Linked DNA regions of Mus musculus: all the other regions are reported to be linked to region 3. The links are microRNA targets in miRTarBase. Many come from high-throughput screens and were not tested one by one. Region 3 holds a microRNA gene; each other region holds the end of a gene's coding sequence.

Evidence for each region. Region 3 holds the annotated microRNA mmu-miR-467f (AUAUACACACACACACCUACA, at 3,892-3,912, opposite strand). A microRNA usually pairs through its seed, bases 2 to 8, with sites in the 3' UTR of a target mRNA and lowers its output. Matches are read on the target gene's strand: a 7mer-m8 pairs with bases 2 to 8, a 7mer-A1 pairs with bases 2 to 7 and ends in A, and an 8mer does both.
Region 1: the mRNA of Gse1 is a reported target of mmu-miR-467f. Seed matches in the 3' UTR shown: 7mer-m8 at 3,838-3,844.
Region 2: miRTarBase lists Mtpn as a target of mmu-miR-467f. Seed matches in the 3' UTR shown: 7mer-m8 at 2,504-2,510 and 7mer-m8 at 1,680-1,686.
Region 4: the mRNA of Trim62 is a reported target of mmu-miR-467f. The part of its 3' UTR that is shown has no 7-base or 8-base seed match.
Region 5: miRTarBase lists Itpk1 as a target of mmu-miR-467f. The part of its 3' UTR that is shown has no 7-base or 8-base seed match.
Region 6: miRTarBase lists Rufy2 as a target of mmu-miR-467f. Seed matches in the 3' UTR shown: 7mer-m8 at 2,868-2,874.

What each region holds. Positions count from the first base shown.
Region 1 is chr8:120,577,825-120,583,138 of GRCm38, reverse strand. Gse1 (genetic suppressor element 1, coiled-coil protein) reads right to left here. Exons shown (of 16, transcript NM_001145896.1): 15 at 5,065-5,168; 16 at 1,756-4,670. The coding sequence ends at 4,536. It overlaps Gins2 (GINS complex subunit 2 (Psf2 homolog)), which reads left to right. Exons shown (of 5, transcript NM_178856.1): 4 at 931-1,057; 5 at 1,328-1,873. The coding sequence ends at 1,453. Among named protein-coding and RNA genes, the nearest start is that of Gins2, 8.6 kb to the left of the region's middle.
Region 2 is chr6:35,507,696-35,513,009 of GRCm38, forward strand. Mtpn (myotrophin) reads right to left here. Exons shown (of 4, transcript NM_008098.4): 4 at 1,129-4,622. The coding sequence ends at 4,536. Among named protein-coding and RNA genes, the nearest start is that of Mtpn, 30 kb to the right of the region's middle.
Region 3 is chr11:69,631,528-69,636,693 of GRCm38, forward strand. Mir467f (microRNA 467f) reads right to left here and starts at 3,992; the gene lies at 3,873-3,992. It overlaps Fxr2 (fragile X mental retardation, autosomal homolog 2), which reads left to right and starts at 1,444. Exons shown (of 17, transcript NM_011814.2): 1 at 1,444-1,871. The coding sequence starts at 1,791.
Region 4 is chr4:128,909,156-128,914,469 of GRCm38, reverse strand. It overlaps Trim62 (tripartite motif-containing 62), which reads right to left. Exons shown (of 5, transcript NM_178110.3): 5 at 3,144-5,314. The coding sequence ends at 4,884. Among named protein-coding and RNA genes, the nearest start is that of Gm33901, 5.5 kb to the left of the region's middle.
Region 5 is chr12:102,565,577-102,570,890 of GRCm38, forward strand. Itpk1 (inositol 1,3,4-triphosphate 5/6 kinase) reads right to left here. Exons shown (of 10, transcript NM_172584.3): 10 at 3,007-4,908. The coding sequence ends at 4,550. Among named protein-coding and RNA genes, the nearest start is that of Chga, 13 kb to the left of the region's middle.
Region 6 is chr10:63,010,940-63,016,253 of GRCm38, reverse strand. It overlaps Rufy2 (RUN and FYVE domain-containing 2), which reads right to left. Exons shown (of 18, transcript NM_027425.4): 17 at 4,759-4,836; 18 at 1-4,664. The coding sequence ends at 4,521. It overlaps Hnrnph3 (heterogeneous nuclear ribonucleoprotein H3), which reads left to right. Exons shown (of 10, transcript NM_001079824.1): 8 at 79-174; 9 at 360-452; 10 at 540-1,590. The coding sequence ends at 616. Among named protein-coding and RNA genes, the nearest start is that of Hnrnph3, 10 kb to the left of the region's middle.

The DNA.
Region 1 (5,314 bases), not on the chromosome of region 3:
GGATAGTGAGCCTATGTCACTGTTAAAAACCAGGGAGCTGCTGATCTGAGCCAGCCTCCATACCAACTTGAGATAAATTACACAGCAGAGGCTGTTGTTATCCTGAAGGGAGTGTCCCAACTGTCCAATTTCTCAGTTTTCATTTAAAGACATATTCTTATTCCTTTTTAATTCCATGTGTTTGTGTCTGTGTGGTTATGTGTGTGTAAGTGCAGTGCCCAAGGAAACAAGAGCGAATTGGATCTCTTGAAGCTGGAATTTCAGGCGGTTGTTAGCTGCTCCACGGAGGTTGCTGGGAACTGATTTAGGTCCTTTCAAGAGCAGTATGTGCTGGTAACTGCTGAGCTGTCTCTAGCCCCTCCAGTGTGTTATTGTCTACAAGATTTGTACTATCCTGCATGTATGTCCACGTGCTGGGATTATAATTTCCACTCCTGGCTTTTAGTACGTCACTGCTCTGTCATTCTGTGTAGCCACTGGCCATGGCTGCTAAGCTTTACCTGCCGACATCCTAACCCAAGGAAAGAACAGAGCCCCAGGATTCTCTCAAGTCTGTGCGAGGCTCCCCCGACCCCTTTCAAACGGAGTCTCTATGTATCCTTGAACTTCTGATTCTCCTGGCTTCATCCTTCTGAGTTCTAGGGTCACAGTCATGTGCTCAAGCTTCGTTTACAAAGATTCGTTTCTGTGCATGTGGCTGTGACCGACTTCACGTTCCGGGTCCACAGAGGCTAGGATGCATTGTATCTTGGTATAAGCAGTCGGGCATTGCCCGCTGGATGCTGTCAGTGGAACTGGTATCCTCGGGAAGGGCACAAAGCACTAACTGCTAGGCTGTCCTGCCCCTATGCTGCTGTTTGAAGCAGCCATTTCTGCCTGTCCCCGGTAAACTTACTGAGTGCCTCTATATTTCTGCCTCTTTATCTTCAGTGCTTCTGACAACATCCCCAAAGCAGACACCATCCGGACACTGATCAAAGACCTGTGGGACACACGCATGGCCAAGCTTCGAGTGTCTGCTGACAGTTTTGTGCGGCAGCAAGAGGCACATGCCAAGGTAGGCATGGTTCTCCTGTCCCTGCCCGGTGCCAGTGGGCACTGCCTGCCAGTGTGACCGCTTCCCAGGGAGCTGTCAGGCCATGCTGCCTGCTCAGCATGAAACAGGGATTTGAAGCTGTGCTTTGAGCAGTGGCTCACTGGGACTTGGGGGTTTGGCTCTCAGAGCCTGCCTACACCCTCAGTACCAGGAGCCAACAACTCACGGTTGAGCAGTCTAGCTTTGCCTTAAAGCCAAGACTTCCTCCGCTCACTTGCTTTTGTGTTTCAGCTGGACAACCTGACCTTGATGGAGATCAGCAGCAGCGGGGCCTTCCTCACCCAGGCCCTCAACCACATGTACAAGCTCCGCACAAACCTCCAGCCCTCCGAGAGCACCCAGTCGCAGGACTTCTAGCCAGAGGCCTCTGCTGTGCAAACCCTGCTGTGTGCCCTGTGTGGCGGAGATTGGGGGAAGAGTGTGGAACACTGGTAAGGTTGCTGCCCGTCTTTGTCAGAGGTCAGCCATACTGCAAGTTCAACTCCATTGAACAGAGAAGCCGCCAGCCTTTCTCTTCCACCCAAGGACTGCACGCCAAGCACAGCGAGTGTTCGGGCCAGCTCAGCTCAAGTGTCTTCAAGCTTGGCCCGTGGAAAGCTGTATGTAGTTGAGGCTGAGCGTGAGGGTGGGGGTGGTGATACAAAAAGATGAATTTCGTCTTAACATGATTTAGGAAGATTTTATTTTTCGGGATGTCAGAAATTACAGCAATATATTCATAAATACCTAATTACTACATTCAACAAATAATATTACAATACAGTTAATTCAAACAAGTACACTTAGAACGGGTTTAATTTCACAGCATCTAAACTGCCCCCAGAGCGACCGAGGCACCCGTCGGCCCTCCTGCCTGGGTCTGGGTCCAGGGCCCCAGCAGTGAGGCGTAGGGCACACACAAGTACGGAACCAGTGAGATGCCTCCTCGGGTCAAGGCAGCCTCTAGGGTTGAAGTAAGCACTGGATAGACAGTGGGGACAGGCTACAGCAAGTAGTGAAGTCAAAGCTTGCGTACTTGAAAGAGTACAGACTGCTGCTATAAGTGGCTAATGCACACCTCAGAGGTGCTGAGCCTGCTGTGCAGGCCATCTCCATGCTGGGGCCTGGGCAGCTGAGGGCAGGGGCAGGAGGCATCTAGCTTGCAATTTAGCTTAGCTGGTTGAGACTCTCAGTGCTGTGAGCCTGGCTGTACCCTCCCTGCCCCCACTGTTAGGGTGGGGCTTGTTCTGGATGCCCTAGTGGTACAGTCTGGTGTGATGGTGCAGGTGGGTGTTTTTAAGATCACCATGTACCGAAGTGTTGACAGCCTTCTCTCTTGTCACTCATCTGCGATGGTGGCGGGTCTCAATTACATGAGACAAGTGTTTTTAAAAGATCTGATCCGACACCCGTGACTAGCTCGGTGCATCCCACCCAGGACAGATGGCAGCAATCACTTGCAGGTGGAGTGGGAGACATGGTCAAGGACTGGGATTTTTCACATACATGCTGATTTCACAGTCTAGAGCAGATCTATAGCAGGGCTAGGCTGGAGGGATCTCCAGGGACAGTGTGGTACCTGGGAAGGGGGCTACTGTGGTCTTGTTAGCCTCATCTGGCTCTAAGACTGTGGGATGGGAAGAATGCCGTATGTGGGCTGAGTGGCAGTCATCTGCCGCTTTACTGGCTTGTACCTGGTTCTGATTGTCACTTTACTTCTGAGCATGGGGATATTCGGTCTCCAGATGCTAGAGGTGGCCCTAGAAGCTCCAGGGCAGGCAAGGGCATTGGGAAAGGCTGTAGGCATTGCTAGTCAGCGGCTCAGCTTGTGCCCCAGACTGACCTGGGAGGGCATCGCTTGCTCTGGATGGCATACTCAGCCAGAGGAACTCCTGTGGGACAATGGAAGGGACTGTGCGTGTCTTTAAGTTATGGGTTCTGCCTTTCCCAGGAGACATTTACCAAGCAGATTTGCAGAAGCTTCTAGTCATGGAGGTGGGGTGAGCTTGGGAAAGCAGCACTGGGCACAAGCAGCATTTAACTGGGAAGTCGGGCAGGACTCGGCCCAGGGTGTGCGGCCTCTGCCCTCCTTTGGATCGTTTTCTCTGACTGGCTGTGGGCAGAGGAAGGTGCTTTGCTGACAGGCCTGGTGGCACTGCCTTGTCTGAGTTTGCTGAGAACCAGAGGGGTGCGGGTAGGGGCAGGGGTGGAGCAGGGACAGATGTCAGCCAGCTGCTCTGTACAGCCACTGAGCCTGGTGGCTAAGGGTGGGCTCGGCCTCCTCTTCCCCTGTCCGATGGAGGACAGTCGGAGGCTCTTTTCAAGTTGGTCAGCCCTGACTGAAGTGCTGAAACTGGGAAGGAGATCCCTTAGCGTTGAGCTTTCTGCCAGAGCTGTGCCTGTCTCCGGAGCTCAGCTCCTCACAGCTTTGCCGAGTCCCTGCCGCACATGGGTCATCTGCTTTGGAGAGCAGGCAGCCCTAGGCCCCTCAGCCCTGCTGTGTGGGACACTGCACAAGCGAGCTCTCCTGCTTCCTAGAACTGAGCAGTTAACAACATTCTGACCAGCAGCAGTACAAACACTAAAAGCAAGGTTTTCTTTTTTTTTAAATCCAGAAAAACAGAAACAAACAAACAAAAAAACCAAAGAAAACCCCCAAACAGGAAAAACAAACAAAATTCCCCAAACCACATATTAAAAATGGCAGGCTTTTTATAACAATAATTAAAGTAATAAAAACATACAAAACTTTTTTTTTAATATATACACAGTACAAGGCTGAAGCACCTTTGACTTTTCTCTCAAAACGTACGTTTGTATGAAAACACCACACACGGCGGTAGCAATCCAGTGGGTAGGCTATCTGTGGACAGCTCCACGCATCTTCCCCAAGGAAAACAAGGTACTTTTGGGTGTGGGTTTGCCTCTTTTCCTAAGAGCTGTTCCAGGGAGAAGCTTGTGTGCTCCCAGGAGCAGTGGCTTCGATGATGACGCTTGCGGGAAGGCGACAGACGGACGGGACTGATGGGGAGCCCTTTGCTTGTACGCACCCAGCCTTCCCGGCGCATTAGTCCCGCTCCTGGCAGGAAGAGGTTAAACCCCAGGGCCGCAGCAACAGCAAGCTGGGCTCTCGTGGCACAGCTATACCAGAAACAACCAGCTGGCTCTCTCCCTCAGCCACATGCACGGTGGACGTCAGTGTCGGAGGAGGATGACGTGGGGGGAGAGAGGAAATAACGCCGACCTCAGAAAGAGAAACTGAGTCCTAGCTGAGACAGGTGCCTCGGTGACATTGGCGTCGAGGTGATCTCCTCTCTGGAGCCTGGAACCCTTTGTTTCATGCATGGCACGTTCTCAATTTGTAAGCTTCAAACCTCCCAGTGAAAAATATTAAATATTCAAGGTAATAAAATAGATAATATTTCTATACTATAGGTTCAGCCTAGTGCAAGGGAAACCGTCACCTCGGATATCCCTTAAAGTAGCCCCTAGGCCAGTGCATGGTGGGCAAGGCAAGGCACTTCCGCAAGTGGTCCAGCTCCGCCTGGAGCCGCTCCCGCTCAGAGACCATCTTCTGTTTCTGACTCCGAAGCTCCTGGGGAGAAGATGCGCGTCAGAACCATCTGTACACACAGCAGCGTGAGTGACCTCTGGAGGTTGCTAGAACATTCTTCCGGCACCACAGGCTCCCAGAGAACCAGTGTGTACTGCTGCCTCAGCTCAGGCTCTGAATCCCAGGTCCGACCGGCCCCGCACATGTGCCCACCCTGGGGCGGGCACAAGGGCCTCTCCTCAGATAACATCTCTTTATTCCTAACACAGGACCTTACTATGCGTCCCAGGCTGACCCCAACTGACCTCAACCTCCCAGATCTGCCTGTCCCCTGGGGGCTAAAGCATGGCGAGTATGCCTGGCACTGAGTTCTGATTTCTCGGGAGCAGACCTGTCCTCTCTGGGGGTGCCTGTACAAAGCCCATGGCCGACTCACCGCCATGCTGTGAGACAGCTGCTCCGCAGTCAGGCTGAGGCTGTAGTTCTGCGCCTCCAACCGCCGGCACTGCGTCTGCAGCACCTGCCGCTCCAGGTTTTGCTCTGAAAAGACAAGAGGTGGCGATGTGTCATCCTCTTAGGAGGCAGCGTGTCTTCAAACCATGCAGCGTGTTCTTTGCTACACCGATGCGGCCAGGCAGTGGGGAAAACTGGGAAAAACTGCGATGTCAGTGGCGCAGGCAGGAAAA
Region 2 (5,314 bases), not on the chromosome of region 3:
CTCATGATCAAGCTTTCTGTTTTTGGGGATTGGGAGACTTAAAAAAGGGAGGGGGGAGCTTGGGTAAGGCACAGGTCTCAGGAATTCAGCTGTGGAGATTGTAACTTCTGGCTTATGAACTACAGAAATACTGACGAGAACTGGTATGACATACATTACTAAAAAAAATAAAGAATCTTTCTCAGCACTATACATCCTTAGGTTCATAGTTTAACCTTTCGGCCAAGAGATAATCCTTAAGCTCATTTTAAATTTTCTTGGGTGTAGAGAACTTCATTCACAATGACCATCTATTCCTTACCCTGGGAACCATGTCTGATGATGATCCTATTTGATGAGTTCTCTCTTTATGGCTCTTTTCAGGGTTCTTTCTCCTCAGTGTACATCAAAATCCCCCAGAAGTCCAGCCCCAAAGTTGATTAAATAGGTCTCAGTTGGGATTTGTTAAATTTGCATTTATATCATAATTTTTAAAGTTGTGGCAATGTGGCTGGCTAGGAACCACATTCAGAGACCCTGAAGACAGATGGAGAATACTATACTGTGCAGTGGGAAAGTTCTGTGTAGCTGCTCTCTAAAGACAAAAGAAATGATGTGTTAAACTCACTTTTCTTTGCAGGTATGCCTTCCACCCACACCTACCAGTTTGCTCTTAAAGTGTTATATAAGAGGCTCTATTCCCTTTATAGTGCATTTAATCAGACTGAAGCCTTTTCGTATAGACTTTGATTCTTAAAATGAAAATTTTATCTGAAAAAAATTCTGTGAATACATTTACCCTAAGCTATATCAGCTCTTTATACTTTAGTCAACAATAGGGCTTGCAGTATCTTAGCACTTATGTGTTTTGTTTCTTGATTTTAATTAATGGGTACCTTTAATAAGTCTTCTGGTATCAACAAGACTTCAATAGACTCAAACCAATTTCATCTATAATCTGGTACAGTTTTGAGATTCAAAGAGAGCGTTCAAGCAGAAAAGTACACTCTAAAATGTAGTTCTCTAGGAAACAAGCAGCAACCTGAGCAATGAAAGGCTCAGGAGCACAGCCCATCATCCGATTTTCAACATTAATCAAAACTCTGATGCTCTACTGGCTGTGTCTTGTTCTCAGTTAATAGGAGGCTTCCTGGACCCATATACAGCAACAATGTGTATCAGAAAACTTATATTGAAGTTAAAAAAAAAAGCTTTTCTATGAGCAGCATCTAGTATCGTTAGCTCTTTAATAATTGGTTTCTTCATTTCTTCTAGAAGTAGGATAAAATGGTATTAAAATCTCAAGTTAGTCAAGATTTTCATATCGTTAAGGACGTCTGGAAAGGAAGGCAACAGTGACTGGGGATAAATATGTTGCTAACATGTTATCTATAGCACAATTCAAGTTTATTCCATTTGTTCTTGCAACACGAAACTTAAACACAGTATTAGTTAGCATTCGGATGTACATGAACTAGGATACTTATGAGAAACCCAACTGTGTCAAGGGAATGACATTGTGGAAACATGAACTCAAATATACCAAAAGTGCACAAAGCACTAGTCTTCCTCCATACTGCTTAGAAAGATTGTTTCTCCATTTACAAAATAGAATCAGGACAATTTAAATTTTTTTAAATTTGCATGCAAAACACTGCAATTGCTTATTTATGAAGGAGGGCACTCTTACCAGCTTCTTCTATACACAACCCAGTATACAATATTACATGAAGGAAACAGCAGCTCAGCTGAAGTGAATAAAAATCAAGTACACATATATTGAAGCTCCTTTTATCTGGCTGGGGAAAGAAAGAAATGACTAGAAGGCTACTTGTTTTAGCTTTCACATGCTGCAGTTACTGCCTTTCTTCTGCGCCCAGCTGGTTCTGGAAAGGTGAGCTTGTGCACATGGGATATGCAAGTGCTGTGTTAGAACTCAAATCTACATATGCTGGCATGAAGCTGGGGGTGAGGGTAGGGGTGGGCAGACCTGTTAGTACACTAACCATGTTCAGGCAAGTAACCTGTTTTTGATACAGTGCATATGAAATGATGGATTTTAATATAAAACTATAGAACATGCAGGGTTTTTTTCTGAGATGTTAAATAGTACTTCAGTGGAAAACAAAACTTAACCTTTTATTAATGCGTGTTGTACCAAAAGCAGACATTTTAGCTTCATTTATTCAAAAATATTAACATTAAGTGTCATGAATTTCTCTGCCAAGTGGTTCAGAAATACATTATAAATAACCTAGTTTTTTTTTTGTTTATTTTTGTTTATTATTTTTTTAAAGAAACTGTAAACCATCCTGGTCAGTCTATCCTAGTCTATGTTTATATGCTATTTTCTCAAGCAATCACTTCATAGCTATGGGTTTACAAAATGGCCAACAAAGGGGGAAGGCAAAATAGCCTCTACTGCATTACAAGGAACACTGGGATAAACTGTACAAAGAATCATATGGTTTTGGTACCATAATGACTGTAGAAAGCAGACCCAAGTTCTGGAATGATAAGACAATATACACTCTGCAATAGCCAACTATAACAGAAGACTTTGAAAGAAAAATTGAAAATTGTGTAAAGGGTAAAATTCAAGCCTTTAAAATAGTATGCCAAGAGGTGAAAACAAAGGTCTCAAAACACCCTGTTGCATTATATTGACTCATAGACTGATCATGTGCCTTCCACTTCCTAGCAGAATGTCCAACTCTATAGCTGCTTGGCCTTTTGGTTAAGATTAAGTGTAGGATATCCAACTCTAGTAGGCTGCATTAAAACAGCAGAGCTAGCCAAATATATCAAAGTATTTAAACTACTGTTTTGTGATTGTTTTCTTGGACATAGAAAAACTACAGGGGCAGGCTAGTTGAAAGTGAAAAAGCCACAGGATAAAAAAGAGTTCATGGGAGAACACACACACACACACACACACACACACACACACACACACACACCCCAACCAATTATCAACTGATTAATAGTTATTAGCCAGGCTGATTGTTCTTAGTAATAGTTTAACCCTGCTATATAATGCTACAATGCCTTAAAAAAAATCAGTTAGGTTTTTAATATTATTATCCCTAATGTGATTATAAGTCCCTATCCCATCACCTACCCTTTAAAAATTTGAGGTACATTCAATTATTGCATGATTGGCTATGGAAAGATTCTAATAGTTTTTGTAATCCTGTATAGATGGCAAATTAAAAGCAAAAGACATCTTAATACTTAAAGTGTAGGCCATCAAATTTAAGGTTGTATGTTTTAATTCATTTTATTGTTCATGAAAGAAAAAGTTAGAGATAAGTTTCTCTTATCTGCAGGTCCTAGGAATACCGTTTTAGGGCACTGTATTATAAGAACACAGAATGCATTTTGAAGTTGTCACATGTATGCAAAGAATGATTGTTAAGATAAAAACACCATGCAGGTGGGGTGGTACTGGCCCAGCAAGAGTCTATTACCAGCTCAGGAGAACATGGTAACAAGAATGTTTTTGAAGGGATGAGGTCCCATCTGTCCAAATACAGTACATCTCACCCCAGTGATACCTTTGGTGCACTATAAAATCAGCATCCATGGTGGGTTTTTGAGAGGCATTCCAAAGAATATTCTTCATTCTCCAAACACAACGAAGGCTGGCTCACTCAAATAGCAAATGAAGAAACTCCATAGGTACTAAGACAACTGTTCTCTCTTTATAAGATACTAACACGCTTATGGCTATGATTTTATTTTTAAATCTCCTTTACTACCAGAAGGAGTCTCAAAGTGTTTCAATGTTATATAAATGTCTGAGTCTAAAGGAGAAAAAAAGAAATAAGCCTACTGGAATGATTCCTCCTTTAGGCTCCTAGAATTTAACATTTTATAAATAAAACTAGTCAGTTTTATCTAAAGAGACATGAAATTGATGTGAAAGGGGAGAGAAAATCCAAAGTTTAGTCATCCAGCAATTCAGGAGTGCGCTGCTCCTTACCTTATCTAAGCTCTTATGTAAAGATTAACGTCATTCTAGAGAGATTTTGGTCACTAACCGCTCTTAACTAGCCAGGAGCCCCCAGGAGAGTGCATTCTTAAGGCAGAAGGCTATAGCTAATTGCTTATCTCAGCACCCTATGTTGACATAACAGCAGCCACTACTGCTCACAGCTAGGGCTACCAAATAAGTAGAGTTGGCCTTGTATAGTCAGACCTTCAATAAACTAATTAATAAATTAGCTAGGGAGCTGAGAAGGTCCAATGATTCCAATAGACTGTATTTTTGCTCTCCCTTGGGAATAAGCTGTATATTTTACTGGAAATGAAAAACAGGCTGGTTTGATCAGGAATCCCAGTAAAAGTCTCATCACATTCCCCACTGCTCCTCCAAAACATGTTTTATTCCCCTCCCCTGGCAGTCTGATTTGTTATGAATTTCTCTCTCCCTTCACCCTCTTAAAGTATTTAGCTGAAGAAGCTGGCAGATAGAAAGTGACAGACAGACAGGCAGCAGTGTGAGGCCACAGGAGAGTCATCCTTCCCAAGTTATCAGTCCGTCCATCCATCTATCACTGGAGAAGAGCTTTGATTGCCTGGTTGTCAGTGGCTTCAAGGGCGGTCAGTCCATCTGGGCCTTTCACAGTCTTATCAGCACCCTGAAAAAGAGAGGAGAGAACCTTCTTTAACTGAACTTACACTAGGGAACAGCAAGTGCCAGAGGTGGCTATGTGGCATAGGCCTTTTTTATACTCTGATTCCTAGAATCCATGGTGGAAGGCCTGAACCAACTCTGGACAGTTGTCTTCTGTCCTTCATACTGAGCTATAACACATACATGGCTATACTCACATACATACAATAATAAGATAAAAATATTTTAAAATGCATTTTTTTGGTGTTAGAAATTATAAGAAACAAAACAACTGTCTTAATTACTGTTTTGTTGCTGTAAAGAAACACCATGACCAAGGCAACTTATAGAAAAAAGCATCTAATTGGGGGCTTGCTTAAAGTTTTAGAGAGGTAGTCAATGACCATTATGGTAGGAAGGAATGAGAGCAGGCATGACACTAGAGGAGTAGCTGAGAGCTTACATCTGATTCATAAATCCAGATTGAGAGATTGGGAATGGTGTAGGTTTTGGAAATCTCAAAGCCCAACTGCAGTGACACATCTCCTCCAAGGTTACACATACTAATCTTTCCTACCACCAACCAGGGACCAAGCATCAAATAAGACCCTATGGGGTGACCATAGAGAGTTGGAGCTCACTTAACCGTAGTCAACTTCACTTAGATCAAACAACTGAAAGATCCTTGCTCTTCAAAGTTTTCCACTTCCCAGGTTC
Region 3 (5,166 bases):
ACAGAGCTCTGGTTCATCCCACTGTGGATTTGATAATCTCCCAGAGACACGTGGTCCTTCAAACTCCTGTACCATTGGGCCGCTATCAAGTTCTTCAAGTTTCTGATGGTGTCATCTGTGTTGCATTTAACCCTGACTTCCTTTCCAAGAAGGTTGTTGTTAGCAGCCTCAATCATTGTGGTGGCAGCTTAAATCTTGACGACACAACCTGTAGTTTGAACACTGATCCTATTTTATTTTGTTAAGTATTTATTTAATGTATATGAGTACACTATTGCTGTTTTCAAATACACCAGAATAGGGTACCAGTTCCCATTATAGATGATTGTGAGCCACCATGGGGTTGCTGGGAATTTAACTCAATACCTCTGGAAGAGTAGTCAGTGCTCTTAACCACTGAGCCATCTCTCCACCTCACACCCCTTATTTTTACAAAAAAAAAAAAAAAATCTGTTATACGTGTGGGTGACCACGAGTGATGTTATATGTATGATGTTCAGGAGACAACTTGCAGGAGGATATCTCCTTCCATTTTGTGGTCTAGGAATACAATTCCCGTTAAGCTTCGTATTCGAGCCATCTCTCTCTCTCTCTTTTGTTACTCCATGACAGTTTTTCCTGTATTGAATCCCCTCAGAATTTATGCATCAAGTTATGTGGCATTTTGTTTTTCATACGGCACTAAATTTACTAGAATACTAGTCAACTTAGGGCAAGCATGGTAATGACATGGCTGTAATTTTTGCACTTGGGAGGTGGAGGTTGGAGGACCTATTCAAGGTCATTCCCCCACTACCTAGTTAGTTCATGGTCAGCCTAGGACACAAGAGACCCTGTCTCACAAAACTTAAAAAAAAAAAAAAAAAAAAAAAAAAAAAAAGTCTACTTAAGCCAACAACAGTGACTCTTGATTCTCCTATGGATGCAGAGAGTCAACACATGCGCATGGACACCAAAGCCCAGCGCCTGCGCACTGGGCAGTTTTTGCCTTTTGGTTCCCCCCCCCCCCCCCTTTTTGGAGTGTGCGCACCAAGAAAGACAAAGGTGGTGAAAGTGACCAAGCAGTCATTCGGGCGCATGCCCATCCCTAAATTGCCCAGGCTCCATGGGGCTCACTTTGTGGAGGCGGAAGTCCAATCCGATGCAGCGAGCGCGGCCCCCCTCTCCCTTTGATTGGTTTGCTTCCAGTGTTGTGGGGCGGGGAAAGGAAGGGACAGGGACAGTGGAAGGTTGGAGTGGTACAGAGAGCGTTCGCCTCGTTCTGCGCAAGCGCAGAGAGGCGACCAGGAGGGGGCGTGAGAGAGTGCAAGAGAATGTGGAAGCCCTGACGCGCTGGCGAGCGGGAGCTGGGTCGCTAGCCTAGACGCCTGCGCCTTGGCCCTCCGGCTCCGCGCGCGGCGGGCGGGTGCCCTGTGCGCCTGCGCAGTAGGCGGCGGCAGCAGGGGGAGGTGGAGGCCGTGGAGCGGCAGCGGCGGGTCCCGGGACCGAGGCAGCAGCGGGGGCGCCGGCGGGCGGAAGCTGAGGTGACGAAGGCGGCGGCGGCGGCGGCGGCCGTTTCCCTCACGGTGGCGGAGACCAAGGCAGCGGCGGCGGCGGCGGACGGGGAGCGGCCCGGCCCCGGCCCCCTGCTCGTCGGCTGTAGCAGGGCCGCCGTGGGGCCGGCCCGGCTCCCGCCCCCCGCGGCTCCCCCTCCGGCTCCTCCTCCAGGGAGACGCCGGGGACCCGGCCCGGCCCGCACTCAGGGCTCTGTTTCAGCTGCTGCCGGGCCAGTCGGAGGTGGTGGCGGCGCCATGGGCGGCCTGGCCTCTGGGGGGGATGTGGAGCCGGGACTGCCCGTCGAGGTGCGGGGCTCCAACGGGGCCTTCTACAAGGTGAGACGGCGCGTCGACCCGGGCCACCCTCCTTAGCCCCCTCCCCCAGCCGAGGCAGGGAAGAGTGGAGCGGGATCGAGTTTCTGGAGCTTGGTCTTGACCCTTAGAACCTTCGACCCACGTTCCCACTCGAAACCCTCCCGTGGCGATCGTGGGAGTTAACCCTCGTGCTTTTATTTTGAGCTCGCTGTTACACCTGCTTTTATCAGCTGAAAACATGGCCATCAGGTCATTCCTGTGCGGGGATGGGAGCCCCGGGTCCCTTTGGAGAAAGCCCTTTTCCTAGCTTCTAATCGACTTTTCTTGTTTTTTTTTTTTTTTTTTTTTTTTTTTTTTTTTTTTTTTTTTAGTGTAGGCGATACTTCAGCTTTTAATCACATCACCCCTGCAGCCCAAGCACATGGAGGATTCGCATTCTTTTCCTACATGACCCCCTTGGGAAGGTCCACTGTCCCACATTAGGTCTTCAGGGAGCCTTCTGCCTACTGGCTCTAGACCATTTGCTCAACTTTTGGTCTTAAATTCCTGTTCCCAGGCTGACAAGAAATGGTCAAAACCCATCTGTGTTATTTAGCATTAGCATCTTTGGCCTCAGGTTTTTATCAGCCAGCCATAAAGTGGATTTGTTGGACAAGTTTGTCACCCACCACACCTATATTCCAAAATCACCTATGAGGGATGGATTCACGCTTATCTCTTTGACTCTAGATATATTTAGGTCATTCCTCTATCTTCTTGGTAAGTTTAAGCTTCACTGTCTCTCAAAGGCCATCTCAACAAGTTCTTATTCTAACAGATTTCTGCTTGTTGACAATCCTTCTGGAAAGAAAAAAAGTATCTTTCAGAATTGCTTCTTTAATCAGCTTTTTCTTTGCCTAAGATTTGATTCCTGTGAACTTTTTTAAGGGGTGTGGTTGGGACAAGATCCCCTCCCTGGCTGCACTTGAACTCTTCCTCAGCCTAGGATTACAGCTCTGGCGTTACTGGTTGAGCCACCATGCCAGACCAGACTTTTGTTTTTTCCTTCTTTCTATCCACCACCCACCCCATCTTCTGTATCTGTCCTGAGTCTATTCTGGATCCCACGCCCCAGATATTTTCTTCTTCTGATCAGTGGGGTTCTGAACATCTTTTGACTTTTATGAGTGGAATTGTCCCGGACACGTTTGGTCCCTCTCTTACTCTTCATCCTGGAGAGAAAGAGGAATTTCCATAGCATGAGATGGGTGAGAAGAGCCCCTTTTTCTTCAGGTTTCCTCAGGTTGTCTGTCCCCCTACCCTAGTAGAACTTCTACTTTCTTATGCCCTTGGAAATAACTTTCTCTGACTCTACTATGAAATTGTATCTTTTTTGTAGCTGAAAAAAGACTTAGGTTTGCCCTACCCCTGTAGATGGTTCCTACCCTCACTTCAACTGATATGCTAGTTATCCATTATAAAGGCCAGGCCATTTTTTTCCCTTTTCTGATCAAGTTCTTTACCCAGTGCCTATGGGTGCACATACCTATTAGCTTTAATGCAGCTTCTCAACTAAGTCTCGGTCTTTTTAGCTTGGTATTTCTGTATTCCTGTGTATCCTTGATGATGTCTACCTGTCTAGTCTGTGTATAGCTGAAGAAGGCTCCTAGCTGATTCTGTCACTTTCCTAACTCTTGGTACTTTTTCTTCAGACCAGAACAGTGTCTCTAACATTTCTGTTTTCTGTAGCAAAAGTCTTTAATTCTTTTGGCTTCTGAGAGGACACATTAATGTTTTAATATCTATTTCACCCACATTTGTATTACCTTTGTTAAAACAGTCTCCTCAGGCTGGGTATGGTGGTACATACTCTAACCCTAGTACTTAGAAGGCTAAAGTAGGATTGTTGAAGTTCAAAACCAGCATGGGGAATGGAATCCAGTCTAAAACAACCCAAACAAACCCAAAAAGTACTCTTTATTATGCTCTCTTTTCCTCGATATGTTAGTCTTCATCTGTATCCTTCTAACATCAAAATGTTAAAAATTCCAAAAAAGCTGTGTGTAGGTGTGTGTGTGTATATACATACATACACACACACACACCTACACACACACCCACCCCCGTTCGATTTCTGGGTACAGGATTTCTCTATGTAGCCGTGGCTGCCCTGAACTCAAACTCTGTGGGATAGGTCTGCCTTTGTTGAGTGCTGGGATTAAAAGCATCCACAACTACTCTTAGTTTGAAAAGTGGTTCTTAAATTGAGTATGAGATCAAGATAAGATATTTGCATTTGGTTTAAGGAAGCTCAGGAGCCATGCACAGCTGGGACAGATGAGTGCTCAGTTCCAATTAACTGTATGACATGGTTGGGCTGGGACATGAATTCTGTTACACATATGGGTATCCAACAGAAAGTCTCTCTTTTATCCTTTTATTCTGTGGGCCAGAGCAGTGATAGATTTGAGGGAAGCAGGGACAGGATTCTTTGATAGTATAGAGTTAATAAAAGCCAAATATTGAGTGTAGATTTTGTATTCTGGCCACTTCAGCACTTTCTGCTCCATGACTGAGTTAAAGACATTGCCTAAGTGTAATGTAGATACTTACCTATTCAAACCTTGCTGATTAATATTTATGACTCAGCAAACTTTGGTGTGAGTAAGGGATACTAACTTTTTAGATCTTTTACGTTTGGGGAGATTCTTTTCTCCTCTCACAAAACTGTTTTACTGTGATTTTTCTAGAGCCAGTAAATATCAGATCTGAGGTCTAAGTTATTTTAGAATTATCCTATCAAACTTGGCTTTTCTGTCAGGATGTGATGTGTTTTGTTAAGGTGGTTTCAGGTGGCTTGGGCTTTTAACCCGGGATGACCTTGGACTCCTGGTTTACTGTGGCCTTTCCTAAGACCTGGGATTACAGGTGCACACCATCAACCCCAGCTTCATAATGTGTTTTGTTTTGTTTTTGTTTGTTTTTTGAAACAAGGTTTTTCTGTGTAGCCCTGGCTGTCCTGTAACTCATTCTGTAGACCAGGCTAGCCTCAAACTCAGAAACCCGCCTGCCTCTGTCTTTTGTTGTTTTTTTTTGGGGTGGGGGGCAGGATATCCTGTGTTGCCCTGGAACTCACTCTGTAGGCTAGGCTGGCCTTGGAAGGTTTAGGCCACCACCAACCTGTTAAGATGGGGTCTTATTGTATAGCCTTGCTTTGTTGATAAGGCTAACCTTGAACTTGAGGTCTCATCTTAGCCTTCCACTGAAGTACATCCTCAGCCAGGTAGCCCTCCTCCGATCTCTTCCTTCTTTCTTCCTTTCCCTTTCCCTTCCTCCC
Region 4 (5,314 bases), not on the chromosome of region 3:
TGTGTACAGTGTGGGCATCAGATGTCAAGTCTGGGTATATTTCTCTATTGTTCTCCATCTTAGTTTTGAGATAGAGTCTTATCAAGATCTGCCAGTCTCCCCCCACTCTCCCTGGTGCTGGGCCTACAGATATGGGCTGATGCTCTTAGCTTTGGTGTGTGTTCTACGGATTCATATCCATGTTCTCATGCTTGCACCACAAGCGCTTTGCCCACTGAGCTATCTCCCCAACTACTGGAAGACTGTTCTGTATTTAGGGCAAATATATATATATACATACACACATACAGAAGAGAAAATGAGCATTTCAAAAGAAAGGCATTGGTCTTTCCCCTGGTATTTCTGTGCAGCCCACTTCTGTCCTGCCTCTCAAGACCCTTCCTCCTTCAGGTGGTCCAGAATTTGCAGAATTAGGACCTAGTGGACAGTTAGGATCTGGTTCAGCACCTCGGCCAGCTCCCATCTCCTCCCCCTTGGCCTTCACCCAGCCCCCAGGATTTAAGCCCGTGACTCAGGCCTTTGCAACCGACCTCTTGGTGTGGTGGTCCTGGTTCTAGCTGAGCTGGTGGTGAGCTTGGGGCTGTTGAACAGAGCTGAGAGACCCAGGCAGGAGGGGAGGAATCTGTCCATGTGAGCAGTCGGCCTCTTGGGATGGCCTCCCTGGCAGGAGGAAAGGCCTGTCCCCAGAGCCTCTGAGGTGAGCTGGGTACTGCCAAGAGACTTTATCTTTGTTGTTTTCTGTCTCTGCCACCACCCCAGAGAGAGGGACAAAGAGATAATAGCCTCATTTATTGGGGACCAAATAGTCCAAGCTGTGGGACCCAATATTTCACTTACCCTGGTAATCGAGGTGATCTCTGAACTCTCCCCAGTAGACATGGGGAAACTGAGGCCAGCGAGGGTAAGGAACCTGCTCAAAGTCACACAGTGGGCTTCATGAGCTTTAAACCATAGGGACCTTGGTTCAAAGCCCCTCTGAAGCCCAGGAGCCTAGTCCTGGTGGCTGCCCATCACGGAGCAGTCCTCAGCGTAGAGAACATCCCTCCAGAGAGGTCCAGTGGAGTGTGGCTTTAGTGATAACGGGCCTGCTACTAGCCCTGCCGAGGAACAGCTGTGGATCCCCTGGGAAGCGTTGCTTCGTGGTTCTAACGCTAAGATAATGACACTATCCTCATGGGCTCCTCTCTGTGGCTAGATGAAATGTAAAGTGTACTAGCACTTTGCTTACAGGCCGTGTATGGGGACCCACAATGAGCCCGAGACAATCAATTAGTCCTTCCCTGCAGCCTCCCCTCTCAACTGCGTTGTGATCCTGACAATCCCAAGATCCCCTTCCCTGTATTCCTTCCCCATATCCTTTCCCCAAGTCTCACTCTGTAGTCCAGGCTTCTGACTCCAGTTGTCTTAGTCAGGGTTTCTATTCCTGCACAAACATCATGACCAAGAAGCAAGTTGGGGTGGAAAGGGTTTATTCGGCTTACACTTCCATACTGCTGTTCATCACCAAGGAAGTCAGGACTGGAACTCAAGCAGGTCAGAAAGCAGGAGCAGATGCAGAGGCCATGGAGGGATGTTCTTTACTGGCTTGCCTCCCCTGGCTTGCTCAGCCTGCTCTCTTATAAAACCCAGAGATGGTCCCACCCACAAGGGGCCTTTCCCCCTTGATCACTAATTGAGAAAATGCCTTACAGTTTGATCTCATGGAGGCATTTCCTCAACTGAAGCTCCTTTCTCTGTGATAACTCCAGCTGTGTCAAGTTGACACAAAACTAGCCAGTACACCAGTGCTGAATTTTTTTGGTCTCTAGTGCGCGCACGCATACACACACACACACACACACACACACACACACACACACACCATGTCCCTCTGCCTAGAAACAATCCAGGACCTAGTATGGAGTTTTTCATCCTACCTCTACCATACAAAGACACAGCTGGTATCTGAGAGGGTCTGATCTAGTCTTCGAGTAAGGAGAGGAAGAAATATCACTTTACGGTAGCACGAATCAATGAAAAGCCAGGATTAGACCCCGAGATTCCTGTTCTTACATTGCAGAGCTGTAGAGGACCAGGCAGACCTCTGGCTCACCATGGTCACAGCCTGAGTGAGTGAGCGCTCATGGGCAGGGCCCTGCTGGACTTTGGCCGGGCTGCTTCCCCATCACTTAGAGGCAGGACCTCCTTCTCTGTGTACCTTGTCCCATGCTCCGCACAGCGTACAGGAGAAAGGTGGACTTCTCACTGGTCAAGGTAGCGCAGGTTAGAATGTCTATGTTGTTTCGGGTGTGACTGCAGGAGGCAGTGGAGGAGAGGCAGGGCCTCCGTGACTGTACATTTTACAGCTTCCTAGTAAAACATGTGAACTGCAAGCTATTAGCCCCATTCTCCGAGGGGAGTCATTGAGGCCCCACGAGGTTAAGTTGTTTTTCCTAGAGTGAAGCCTGATAGAGCCCAAGCCTATATAGTTTAAGAGACCAGACTCTTTTCTGCCTTCCTGGCTACCCCGTTGTACTGGCTAGTTTTGTGTCAACTTGACCCAGCTGGAGTTATCACAGAGAAGGGAGCTTCAGTTGAGGAAATGCCTCCATGAGATCCAACTGTAAGGCATTTTCTCAATTAGTGATCAAGGGGGAAAGGCCCCTTGTGGGTGGGACCATCTCTGGCTAGTAGTCTTGGTTCTATAAGAGAGCAGGCTGAGCAAGCCAGTAAAGAACATCCCTCCATGGCCTCTGCATCAGCTCCTGGTTTCTGACCTGCTTGGGTTCCAGTCCTGACTTCCTTGGTGATGAACAGCAGCATGGAAGTGTAAGCCGAATAAACCCTTTCCTCCCCAACTTGCTTCTTGGTTATGATGTTTGTGCAGGAATAGAAACCCTGACTAAGACACCCATTCTCCCCTAGGCAGAGACGAGGTCTTCCCTGATTGATGAGGGTGCTGGCCGAGAACTCAGATCTCACTGTCCAGTGTGGGCTGTGGGCTTCTCAGCCGTCACATCCTCTCTCTGGACTTCACTGTGCTCCTGATCTGTATCCAGCAGGGCTGCCTTGGGGAACTGGACTGGCCGTGCCAATGACTGTCCCCTTCCTGAGGGTGGAACATCGCTTTGCGTTCGTCGGAATGAATGGAACGTACACCTGTGCCCTGTAACTTTAATTTAATACAAACTGATCAGAATGCACAAAAGGGGCCATGTTTTAAATAAAAATACTGCCAGGCGTGGCCTGGTGTCTGGGAGTTGAGAGGAAGAGCAGGACTCAGGATTCTTCTTGCTCAGGGGGGGCTAGCACATGGCAGTTGTGAGTGAGAACCCCTCAAGTTCATATTCTGGCTCACCGGAGATGGACATGCTCACTGAATCCCAAGTACAGAATTGAGGACCTGGGGCAACAAAGGAAGGCCCAGGCTGGGAAGTCATTTTGTCTCTATTTCTGATGCTACTGATTCCCTAAGTTGTTGCCTCTGGGCAGGGACAGGCAGGGACAGGCAGGGACAGGCAGGGACAGAGTCACGGAGCAGGACATTTTTAGCAGTTCTGTTTCAAAGCCAAGGCCTTCAGGTGGATTCATGGATTCTCCTGAGTTCTTCACAGTTGGATTCATTGGCAAGGAAATTGTGGATGGATCTATTCCACCTCCATGATAACTTTGTGGCTGAGGCTGGAAGAGGAAAAACTACATTTCTCAGAGTGCTTTGCAGTCAAAGTCTAGGTTCTGGACTCAAGTTTCCACAAAAAGAATCCCTCTGAAAGATGTAGAACTGGGACCCGAGTTGGGGGGTGTGGTGTGGTGGGACAGACACGGACAATAACTTTCTGGCGTGGATGGTGGCAGCCAGCAGCTTGTGGGGCAGCTGCAAATGGAAGCACCATTCTGGTCACAAGACACAAACCCTCTAGATGGTGGGAGCTGTTCCTGGAAACTCTGGCAAAGGCTGTCCTCTTCCATCCCTTTCAGTGATCTTGCAAGTCACCAGGGAGCTGACTGCAAATTCTTGTCTGATGAAGTCAACTAAGGCGGCTATTGTTTGTGCCTCAGGATCCTAAGGGAGCCAGATGTCAAGTCCAGGGTGGTACCCGATAACAATCTCCTGGGCTTCAGGTCCTGACGGAAAAAAAGCTGCTGCCAGCACCCTCTCCGTCCATGCAGTAGGTCAGAGACCTGTGTGATGAGGATTGTAGGACCTCTGTCCCCAGGGGCTGTTGGGGACTTGGATCATCCATTGGTGCTTTGTCCTGATGGTGTTCTTCTATATGGGTTTCTAGGGTCCTTATACCTCACTCTGCCCCAGAATCCATGGGCTAGAAGGTAATGGTATGTTGTGAGCTACCTGTCTTGTGTGACTTGCAGATCAGTGAGAGAGGAGGAAACCCACAGTTCTCGGCTTGGAGCACGGGTAGCAAGAGAGGGTGACTCTCAAATAATCCAGCTTCTGCCAAGCTCCCCTAAGGAATTGGATCCAAAGTAAAATGGCCCATAGCTCTCCTGGTCAAGGGTGAGTCAATTCTTAGGCATAAGAGGATTTTGTATACCTTTTGGGCTGCTAGCTACTGATCACATCTGACCTGTCACGATGCTAGGTTAGCTGGGCAGGAGGAGGGGAACAGAGAGCTTCCCTGTTCCTGAGAGAATGGGGATGAGGGGTTGGGCAAGGGCTGCCCTGGGGAGAAGCCATGTCACATCCCATTAAGATCAGAGCCACAGGGCATCAACCACGGAGTGCAATCTCCAGCTCGCAGAAGGGGAGGAGGAGGGGACAAACAGTTGGCCTGAGGTCTCAGGGTGGCCACAGTGGGCCTGAGCAGTCCAGGTCCTCCATCTGTCAGGCAAGGCTCTTGCTGGTGGTCACAGCCCCAGGAGGCTTTGGTCTCCCTCTGCCCAGATTAGATGCGGACGGTGTTGATCCGCAGTGGTTGGACGTTCTTGCCATTGGCGTGGCTCTGGCCGGGGCTGAAGTAGGAGCAGAGCTTGCCAGGAAACTTCTCTCGGAAGGTGTAGAGCCAGGACATGTCATCGGCGTTGTAGAAGATGAGGAGGCCCTGGTCATAGTCCAGGAAGACGCCCACCTTGTCAAGCTTGTCACGGACGTTGAGCCTAGTCCAGGGCTCTGTGCAGGCGCTGTACTGGTTACCGTCATGCATAACGATGCAGTAGAAGCCGCGGCTAGGCTGAATCTGGATGCTGCCTTTGCGACTGGCAGCCTCATGGGCCAGCCCAATCACCCACTGGGTCTTCTCCGCCACCACCACCTCCCAGTAGTGGACACCGCTACTGAAGGCTTCAGAGCCCAGCACCGACACCTCTACGTCAAAGC
Region 5 (5,314 bases), not on the chromosome of region 3:
ATAAAACGGCACATTGAAGTCACAGGTAGAGCTGACCCCCCCCCCCCCTTTATGTTTTTCCAAGACAGGGTTTCTTTGTGTAGACTTGGCTGTCCAGGAACTAGCTGGCCTAGAACTCAGAGATCCACCTACCTGCCTCTGCAAGTGCTGAGATTAAAGGCGTGCACTACCACAGCCCTACTGACATACCACCAAACTTTTTTTTTTCTTTTTTAGATTTATTTATTTTATGTGTGTTTTACCTGCATGCCTGTGCACCATGTGCTGTCTGGTGCCTTTGGGTCCCGTGTAACTGAAGTTATGGATGGTTGTGAACCACCATGTGGATGCTGGGAACTGAACCTAGGTCCTTTGCAGGAGCAATAAGTGCTCTCAACCGCTGAGCCTCAACACACCAAACTTAAGACTTTTGTAGGTTATTCAATCAGGCCAGGCTGGGATGTGGTACTGCACCTATGGATGCTGGCTACCAGGACCAATCATTCAGTCACTCACCAAGCACGCCTGCACATGGAACCCATGATGAAGCCTGGCTTTGGAAACCCATGGCCTCAGGGATAAGTAACATCCTTCTATGGGCAAAGCAGCCTCTCGTGTGACGGGCTTGTGTGTGCCTCTGCTGGGGTCAGCTTCAGACAGGAACGTTACCTCATCCCGTTCTCTGTGTACCTCAACTGAAAACCAGGTGGTGATGATGATGCTAACCATGTGGTCTTAGCAGTCAGCCTATGTGAGGCTCTCCTGCCAACGAAAGCCTGCCCCTGAGGTGGAGACATCTGTATGATGTCACTGCTGAGGCGGGGCTTTCTTCATGTTATGCCTCCTGATAGTTAATTACACAAACTCCCACAAGGCCACCAGAGACCAAGAATATCCACCAACTAAGACTTTAAGTGGCAACGGACACCATGTCACCAAAGGACCCCATCCCAAAGGCAAGCCACCTGCATTGTATCATGGGAAGCAAAGATGCAGCCCAGGCAGGCACTGACAGCCAGCTTTGTAGGCAGTACAGGGCCAAGTGTACGTGATATACTGATGTGCACACGATTAATGGGAGAGGAAGCTGCAGCCATCATGGACACAACTCAGCTTCTGGGGTAGGAAAGCTCTGTATGGACCCTGGGTGAGCTGTCAATTAGGGAGCCTCAGGGAACTATTATCTCCTATGTCCTGCAGTAAGTAGCCAGCCCTTCTAAGATGCCATTAAACCCAGGAATCAGAAAACTCAATCATTCCTGCAACGGACTCTTGAGAACTGGCTAGTACTTCCTAGTCACAAGCAGAAGGAAGAGGACCCAAGCAGGAGGGTCATGCTGCTATGGAGGTCAGTCCTTCTCTGCACAGAGCACTGAAAGGGGTCATCCCCAGAGTGTACTGGCATTGGCTTGGGAGAGGAAAGGAAGTGAGTCATAGGTCTTTACCATGAGGGGAGAATCTGTGGAGCCGCCTTACAGCCATCATCTGAGCGGGAGCCAGCTGAGCAGCAGCAGTCACAACAGAGCTATCCAAACTGTGGGCTCCTGGACCCCAGGGGTTCCCACAGAGGGCCATGGCACCTGTCCATCCACACTGGAGGAGCAGGCTCTTTCAGGCTAGCTTCAGGGCTCTGAAGTGACAGGTGCAGCAGGCCCAGCATGCTGGGGTGGGGAATGTTGCTGGAATCCCACTGGCTAAGTGACTGATTGAGAAGAAATATAAAAGGGCAGGGAACCCTTTCCAGAACACCAGTAAAGCCATCTGGTGGCTCTACAGCCAGCAACCAGTGTGACTGCTCTCGACTACAGACAAGGACTAGTGGTCATGTCAGAAGGATGACATTGTCCTTTTGTCTCTGAACGCCTGGCCAGCAGACACCACTTGCCCCAGCTTCAGGGCTGGAGAGATGGCTCAGCAGTTAAGAGCACTGACTGCTCTTTCGAAGGTCCCGAGTTCAAATCCCAGGAACCACATGGTGGCTCACAACCATCCGTAAGATCTGATGCCCTCTTCTGGGGTGTCTGAAGACAGCTACAGTGTACTACTACTACTACTACCACTACCACTACCACTACCACTACCACTACCACTACTACTACTACTGATAATAATAATGAAAAAAAGAAACCCAGGTTCTTGCTCTGGCCTTTGGGGCTATCTATAAATGCTCCAAGACCAAAAAAGGGCTGGATTACTCTCTGCCCACTGCTTTAATATAGGGTTTCTCCCTGAACTTGGGGTTCATATTTTCCTAGCTACGCTGGAAGCCAGCAAGCCCCAGTGATTCCTCCGTCTCTGTCCCCTACACTCCTGAGCTGGAGTTAGTGTGCGGATGCCTGGCTTGTTATGCAGCTGCTGGGATCTCCAAACCTCACCACTACATAGCAAGCGCTCTTAACCACTGAGCCATCTCTCCAGCACCCCCACCAACTCCCTGTGGAGCATGCTCAGCAGCCTCAGGGCAATGCGCACTCACGGTGGTTTCTTCCTCCAGTGATGGAGCTGTAGGGGATGGTCCCCTTAGCCTTGGGGATTCGGAGGGTCCAATTTTCCAGGCTAGCTTACCCATGGTGTGTGGCAGGCCCCACCCACTCTTCCATGACACCCACAACGACCCAGTCCCAGGGAAGATCCCTCTCGGCTCCTTTGGTGATGACAGACACTAGCAACTAGTGCTGTTCAGGGTCAATGTTTACAAAGGTCCATTTCTGTATCATTAAAGTGTCTGCAAGAATGCAGGTGGCCCAGGTTTCTGTTCCTGTTTCCAGTCCTGGAAAGTTCACCTGCCCACCCTCCTCTATTCCTGCACGGGAGACCTGACCCGTGGAGAATGCTGCCTGGCCAGGAGGCAGGTACTTGATAACCGGGGCTGGTTTACCATGTGTGACCCTGTAGAGGAAGGAGCTCCAGGGGACGCAGCACTGCCCACTCTGCTTGTTCTCAAGGCAGAGTCTGGTGATTCTACTCTGAAAGGGCAAAGCTGTCATTAAATGTCTTCTCTTTAAAGACTGTGACCACGTACAGAATGCGGTTTGATCTCAGTAGTTTATTCCGGAGACAAAGCAGTGCAAGAGGCGGCCACGCTTCCCACCCCCTGTTTTCAGGGTCAGGCCTGGGAAGGTGACTTACAGACATCAATCAGTTCAACACTCAGGTCCTGTAAACGTGGTTAGTCCTGGGGCTCTGCTTCCGAGGAAGCCAATCGGCTTCTCCTTGCCCAAAGGATGCCCCTGCATGGCCCTTAGTGGCCTTCCCAGGGCTGCTGCTTCTAGTGTACTCTATCTTATTAGACCTAAGGACAACCCAGAGGCCTCATTCTCTTTACATAGTGAGCTGATGTCTTAAGACACAAGATCACCCTTGGGGGTCCTGGGCTGCTGACCTGGGGCTCCACAGGGGTCCTTTCCTGTGGGCTTTGGGGCCAGTGGGTGGTCTGCCAGCTGCTGTGGGGTCAGAGTGAGTCTGAAATGGGGCACAACTCCCTTGGGGGCTTGCCTGGTGCTCAGTGCAAGGGACTCGCTATGAACACAGCAGGAAGGAGCTGGGCCTTGCTGTTCCAGGAGGGGCTGTCGCGTGTGAACAGGAGCAGCCCTGTGGGTGGTCTCCTCTCACCTGAAAAGAGGGACCGGATGATGACATGAGGAAGCAGAGATCCTCGTGGGCTAGACCACTAGACCAGGCCTTCAGTTCTCTGTTTCAGGAGCCACCCTGAAGAGATGAGGTGGTGGAGGCCTGAAGACTCACGGAATGATCTGTTGGAAGTCCCAGGGTAAATCCTGGGTCCTGGCAGACTCCTGGACTCCTAGTCAGATGGCTCCTTCCTGGATCTCAGTGAGCAATAGGGTCAGGGTAGGGTGGATAGTGGCCTGCTGTATTCCACGAGCCAGTGAAGACTAGCAATAGCCAGTGGGCTTCGGCTACACCCACAGGAAGCTCCTTTCCCTTCCTACAACCCAGATCCTCCATGCAGAGCTCCCGAGGGGGCGTCTACTGCTTCCCTGGCTTTGGAGAGCGAGGTGGGGGGGCAAGGGTTAGCCTTGGAGGAGAGCACATCTGGGACAAGAGGGAGGGTGAGGTCTGGGTGTGGGCAGGTGTGAAGAGGAGGGGAACTGGGAAAACCGTTCGTCCTTCGCCTGCTTAGCTGCAACAGCCTGGCCAGATATGGGCTTCCTTCCTCGGTGCCCAGAGCCTGGCCCACAACAGCCATGAAGACAGACATGCACACTCACCCTTGCCATGACAAACACACACACACACACACACACACACACACACACACACACGCACCCCCCCCCCTCACATTCAGACCTAGTGTTGAGAACACAAGCGTGTGTAAACTCAGTGAGGACCTCTGCACAGCAGGAGTCAGGCGGCGTCCTCGAGGCTGGGCCACTTGATGTTCTGCTCTGTCTCCCCCCCTTCATTCCGATCATAACATCAGAAAATCAGGTAAAAAATTAAAACAGAGAAGCCTCAGATCACCAGGAATTCTTAGTAGTGTTCCCATGTGGAGCTGCTGGCCCAGTGGGCATTTTCCACGCTCTGCCCCTCTGGGTCCTGGGCTCTGTGGCTACTGTGAGGAAGCCTTGGTGGCCAGAGAGGCCACACAGTGCTGCTGGAAGCTGGGTGATACGCCAGTGGTGCAGCCAAGTCTCTGGTGCGGCAGCTTGGCGGAAGCACCAGCGCCCATGTTGCCTGCTTCGGTCTCAGTCTTCCAGGGTGTGTCCTGGCCCTTCATGCTGCCACAGCAGCCAGGGCTGGCACTGCACGTCCGCTCCCCAGCCAGGCTGCCTGCCGGTTCCGCCAGGAGCCTGTTGTGCCTTAGCGGGGCCACTTCCTCCGTGGCAGCTCCTCCCGTGCTCTGGCCTTGCAGAACTGTGGCAATGTGGTTCAGGAGGTCGGTAAAGAACTCACTCACTCCTTCATAGCCTGGAGATGGGAGACAAAGCAGGCACTGGGCATTAGCCAGGGGATAGGAGAGGAGAAAGAAGCAGACATAACGGGCTCCTGGGACCTGAGGAGGCACTTCCAGTACCCCACTGACAAAGGAAACTCAGGTTTGGCAGACAAGGCAGGGTGTACATGGTCCACAGGCTGGCTAGACCACAGTCTGTCCCCTGAGCATGAGAGGCCCACACCTCCAGCAGATAAAAAATGAAATCTTGTCTTGCTAGGGACAGCCCTTGCTCACCAACTGCTGTAGTTTGGGTAAGCAGGGCTCTTTCCAAAGCCCACGTGTTAAATGTTTGTCCTGAGCTCAAGGGGCTGCTGAGGTGCTAGAGGAGCCTGCTAAGGAGACTGTCCAGTCATCTCAGACACGCCACAGTGTAACCAA
Region 6 (5,314 bases), not on the chromosome of region 3:
CTTTAATACCTTTGATCTAGCATTCCTTTCTCTAATCCTCTTACCTTTTCCACCCATCTTTTTTTTTTTTTTTAAAAGAACATCGATACATTGAACTCTTCTTGAATTCTACTCCTGGAGGTGGCTCTGGAATGGGAGGTTCTGGAATGGGAGGCTATGGCAGAGATGGAATGGGTATGTATAGTTTTGTATTTGTGATGGGTAGCACCTCACTGTAACACAGGATGGCCCAAAACTCACAATTCTCCTTGATGCTTCAGCATATCCTTCCAAACCTAGGTTTGTAAATTGTGTAGAATGAGCAAGTGTTGGCCACTCCACAAGGCAGTCATCCTCTGTGGCTTCTTTTCTGTGTGCAGATAATCAAGGAGGATACGGGTCTGTTGGGAGAATGGGGATGGGGAACAGCTACAGCGGAGGCTACGGTGCTCCTGATGGCTTGGGAGGCTATGGTAAGTAGTTGTTTCTGTATTGTGGTAGTGTCCTTCATTTAAAGACATGGATGTCTCCTGATGGACGGTTCTTACTGTCTTCTTAAGGTCGTGGTGGTGGAGGCAGTGGAGGTTACTATGGGCAAGGTGGAATGAGTGGAGGTGGATGGCGTGGGATGTACTGACAACACCACCCCAACGTACACGTCCTAACACACCTGCTCTACTAGACTTTCTTACAGATTTCATTTCTTTTGTATTTCAAGAACTTTATAACGACTGAAGGAATGTGTTATATTATTTGGTAAAGCAACAGACTGCGATGGGAAAATCTGTTTTCTGTAGGTTGTTTCATTTGTTGCATACTTTGACTTAAATAAATTTTTATATTCAAACCACTGATGTTGCTACTTTTTATATATAGGTACTCCTAAAGATGTGCTGCCTTCATAAGATTTGGGATAATGTATCTTACTGTTAGCATAGTGCAGTGATAGAGGGCAAGACAGCGAGTCTTAAGTAGGCATCTAGGGTAGCACTACCTTTCACCCCTGGACATACTGTAAATAAAAAGCCTAAAGATACGTTCAGGTGGTTTCAGGAACATAAGCTAATTCTGTATTCTTTTCGGTCTCTTTTATCAAGCATAGCTCTGAATAATTCAAGACGTATCTGGATTCTAAATATTCACAAATTGTATTATGAATGGGGGTAGGGGTATAAAACCCTCATAGCACTTGACTAAGATACCAAAAATGGTTCCCAAAACTTGAGTTTGTTGGAGTAGTTTGAAATTCTTAATAATGACAGAAAAACTCTGTAAATACACGGGCATTTACTATAATGGGTATATGCTTACTTGTATTTTCAGTTTCTCACCCAAGAAAACAGGGTCTTTATAATGGTATAAATGACTACATTTAGGAGACTATAAAACAATGCTGTAGCTGGTTTTGCGTCTGAAACTGGCTTTGAGTAGTTAAGTGCCCTGTGTAGAAGGAAAACGTGCTTTCTACTAATCTTTTTATTACTTTGCTCAATAAGACTTTTCCCCAAATTGGCTAATGGATCAAAATGAACCTGTCAGTGTGATCTCAGTTATTGAGTTACTTGTTTTTTGCTAGATATGTTATTAATGTAATAAATGTCAACATGGGAATGTTGTCTGTCCTAGAATATGTTGTGTTAGTTATTGGTATCAAGTATCACCATGCCTTTAATCCCAGCATTTGGGAAGCAAAGGCAATATACTGTTGGATGCCAAATTGAGGTTTCTGATCAAGTAACTACAAAGGCGTGATTTTTTTTTCCCCCATGCTAAGAAGAGAGAGTTGCCACAGCATGTCACTTGGAGCCTGTCGGCCTGAAACAGTGAGTTTCTGTCTTAATGGGTTTAACTTGGTGCCTGCACACCTCGCACAGAAGTCACAAGCACTTCAAGCTTCTTACATCTCAAAGCAGGTGGCTAAAGAGTACTTCAGTAGGTAGAGTGGTTAAGAGTACGTGCTGCGGGCTGGAGAGATGCTCGGCGGTTAAAGCACTGGCTGCTCTTCCAGGTCCTGCGTTCAATTCCCAGCAACCACACGGAGGCTCAGCCCTCTGTAACAGGATCTGTTGCCCTCTTCTGGTGTGTCTGAAGTCAGCTACAGTGTACTCATATACATAAATAAATAAAGAGTACTCGCTGCTCTTTCAGAGGGCCGTTTGGTTCCCAGCACCCACATCAGGTGATCAGCCTCGCTTAAGTCCAATGCCTTTTCCTGGCCTCGTTGGTCACCTGCACACACATGGCACACATTCACACACACATAAGCAGATACAAACAAGTCTTTTAAAGCAATATAAGTAAGTGTTAATTTCTTAGATCTTCGATTTATAAAATTCACATTTATTTTAAAAACATTACAGATCAGAATTACATTTGCAATTCCTTGGCACCATGATCACATCTTTGTGGTAGTACTGGCTAGGTAAGTAAGGGAATGACACGAGTTTTCTGCAAAATAAGAATTGTGAATGTTATGTAATAAATAGGATATCCTAAATTTAAAGTTGGGTGGTTTTATGTTTTTTGGTGGTAGTGCTGTGAATTGAGAATCCAGGCCCTTAATAGCCACGATAAGCAACCATTCTACCACTCAGCTCTATTCTTATCTCACACACAGCAGGGGAACTCGTTAGTGCTGCTCCAGAAAAGGCCCATGTTTATGACACAAATTTTGAGTGGTAATAAAAAGCACATAATAAAGTATTTGAAGTTTTTCATTTACACTCAAAAAAAAAAAAAGAAAGAAAGAAAGAAAGATGCTAGTAATCCCCATCAGTACAAAGCAGTTAAATTGTCTCTTTTTTGTGTGTGTGCCAGCAGGTTTTCACTATATATATATATATATATATATATATATATATATATATATATATATATATATATATATATATACACACACACACATACATACATACATATATATATATATATATAATGACATCTGGGGTTGGGAGAGTAACTGAGTTAGTAGAGTACCTGGCCAATGTGTACAAAGTATCAGGGGCTCCATCCCCAGCACCACATACAAACACTCAACAGCTGTAATCTCAGCAGCTGGGAGATGTGGAAGTCAGGCAGTTCAAGGTCTTCCCCTGCTGCACACCAGGTTGGAGGCCAACTTGGGGTTTCCCTGTCTCCAAAAGAAACATCTAGAAATCTGTCGGAGTGAATTTAAGTTGACCACAGAAGCTGGTAAATACTGGTTTTGTAATTTTGGCAATTTACAAAAACTTACTGAAATGTAGCAAATGAAAAGATCCTGCAGAAAAGGGGATCAGAAAAATACCCAGTCACTGAGCAGTGTTCTTGGGAGTGTAAAATCACTAGAGTTTTGAAAGGCTTTATAGACTTAAAAGTATAAGGCTGGAAATTAATATATTAAAGATCCTATCCTAAATGGTCATGATTTAAGTAACTTAATGCTCCGTGTCTCCCACACACACCCCCGCTTGAAAAAATAAGGAGCTACTATCTAAAGTACCTAATACACATAGAGGGTGAAATTCTACTGTGGGCAAGCGTAAATATGCCAGTGTAATGCTTCCTAGAAGTTATTCTTAAGAGAACTGAGGGTGGAGAAACTTAATTCTTTCATAGCAGTCCTCTTAATTTTAATGCTTAGAATCAATCTTTAAAGGCCTGTGGTCTCATTCGGTCCCCTTGTTCCCTGGGTAGGAATGTTTTCTCCTTTGGAATCTGACCCTTTATAAAAATTAGTATTTGTGATAAGGATGATGATTATAAGTGAAGGAAAAGCTAGAGGCCAGACCACTGGTCCTTTAGTCCACTATATGAAAGATGTGGGCAAGTAAAAAGGAAAGGAAGGGATTAAATCATTGGTCTTTTCCATTGTAGAGAAGGGAGAAGAACAAGCAAATAAATACAACTAAATTAGCATCTTACCAGACAATGAAGACTACACAGACCTGGGATGGAAGCACACACCTATATCCCAGCACTTCAGAGCTTAGGCAAGACAGCTTATGGTAAAAAATAAACAACTTTGATTCAGTCTGTCTTCCTGGACAGTCTGGCTGTCCTGACTGGAACTTCCTCTTTCTACCAGGGTGGCCTTACTGAACTCAGATCCATCCACCTGCCTCTGCATCTAAGTGCTGGGATTGAAGGCGTGGGCCACCATTTTAAAAACCGTTAAATCGGCATATAACATAAAGTGAATGCATTTCCAGTTTTTCTCTGAGAATTGTGACGCTTTCTAAAGTGCATTAAGAGACAGGCACCTTCAAGTGCCTACTCATCAGTTCAGAAGCAAATAAGCTGTGGCCTTGTTCTCAAAAAGGCCTCTATAAGGTAAGGCAAATGTGCATTAGCTCTGCTATCTGACCTTTTGTTAAAGGTTACTTGATAGTTGAAGTAGTGCTAAAACATGCTATCTTAAAATCTGATTAAGTACAGGGACGGAATACTAACCCATATAACTTAGAAACCTGTTTGTGAGCTGGAGGCAAGGTACAGTACTGACTGGGCACACAGCCCTCCCTCGCTGCAGGTGGTGCTGTGCAGGAGAATGGAGTTCCAAGTCATGGCATGTTAGAGGAGCATCTCTGAATGAGCATTGCATGGCAGGAATCACAGACTCGCACTGGCTTTGGTGAAGAAGGCAAAGGCAGCTCGTTGTCAGAGCAGGCATTACAGAAAATTTCTCCGCAGTTTCTACAGTGGTGCTATTAAATGGAAAAATCCGGGGAAAATAAAACCAAATTAGAAGCCATTTTTGTTGCCACAACGTTTGGAATCATTTTCACTTCTCTTACCTACCTTTCTTTTGGAGAGTGAAAATTCCTTCTCACAAAGCTTACAGTGGGTTGCATCTTTGTCTTTTAACCAGACCAGTCCCTAATATGGAAAGATGAATGTTAATGTTCAAATCAATAACACCTGCTCTTACTTCAGAAGTATGAAAATAGAAAGGCATTCTCCTGTGCACAATTCCTGTGACTCATTTTCACCACTTATGTTCAAAATGAAGGAAAGAAGGCACAAGGCTCAGACAGTAGCTCTCAGAGTTACGTCAGAAACTCGGGACATGCCTGGACAGAAGCGTGTCCAGATGTGGGCAGGGGGCCTGAGTTGAAGACAAAATAATGAACAACCCAGCTTCTACAGGGAACAGTTGATAATGTGCTGGGTTGTCACCGAATGGTAACATTCTGGTCCGGAGTAGAACACCGGGAAATAAAATAGCTGACAGGCAGTTGGCTTCTGGAGAAATGATGAGGGTGGGTGCACCTGGAAGGCTGTGGCACTTCTTGGTCTCTGGGTACAGGGCTCTGCAGGGAAACCCTGCCTCAAAAAATAATAGGGGCAGGAGAGA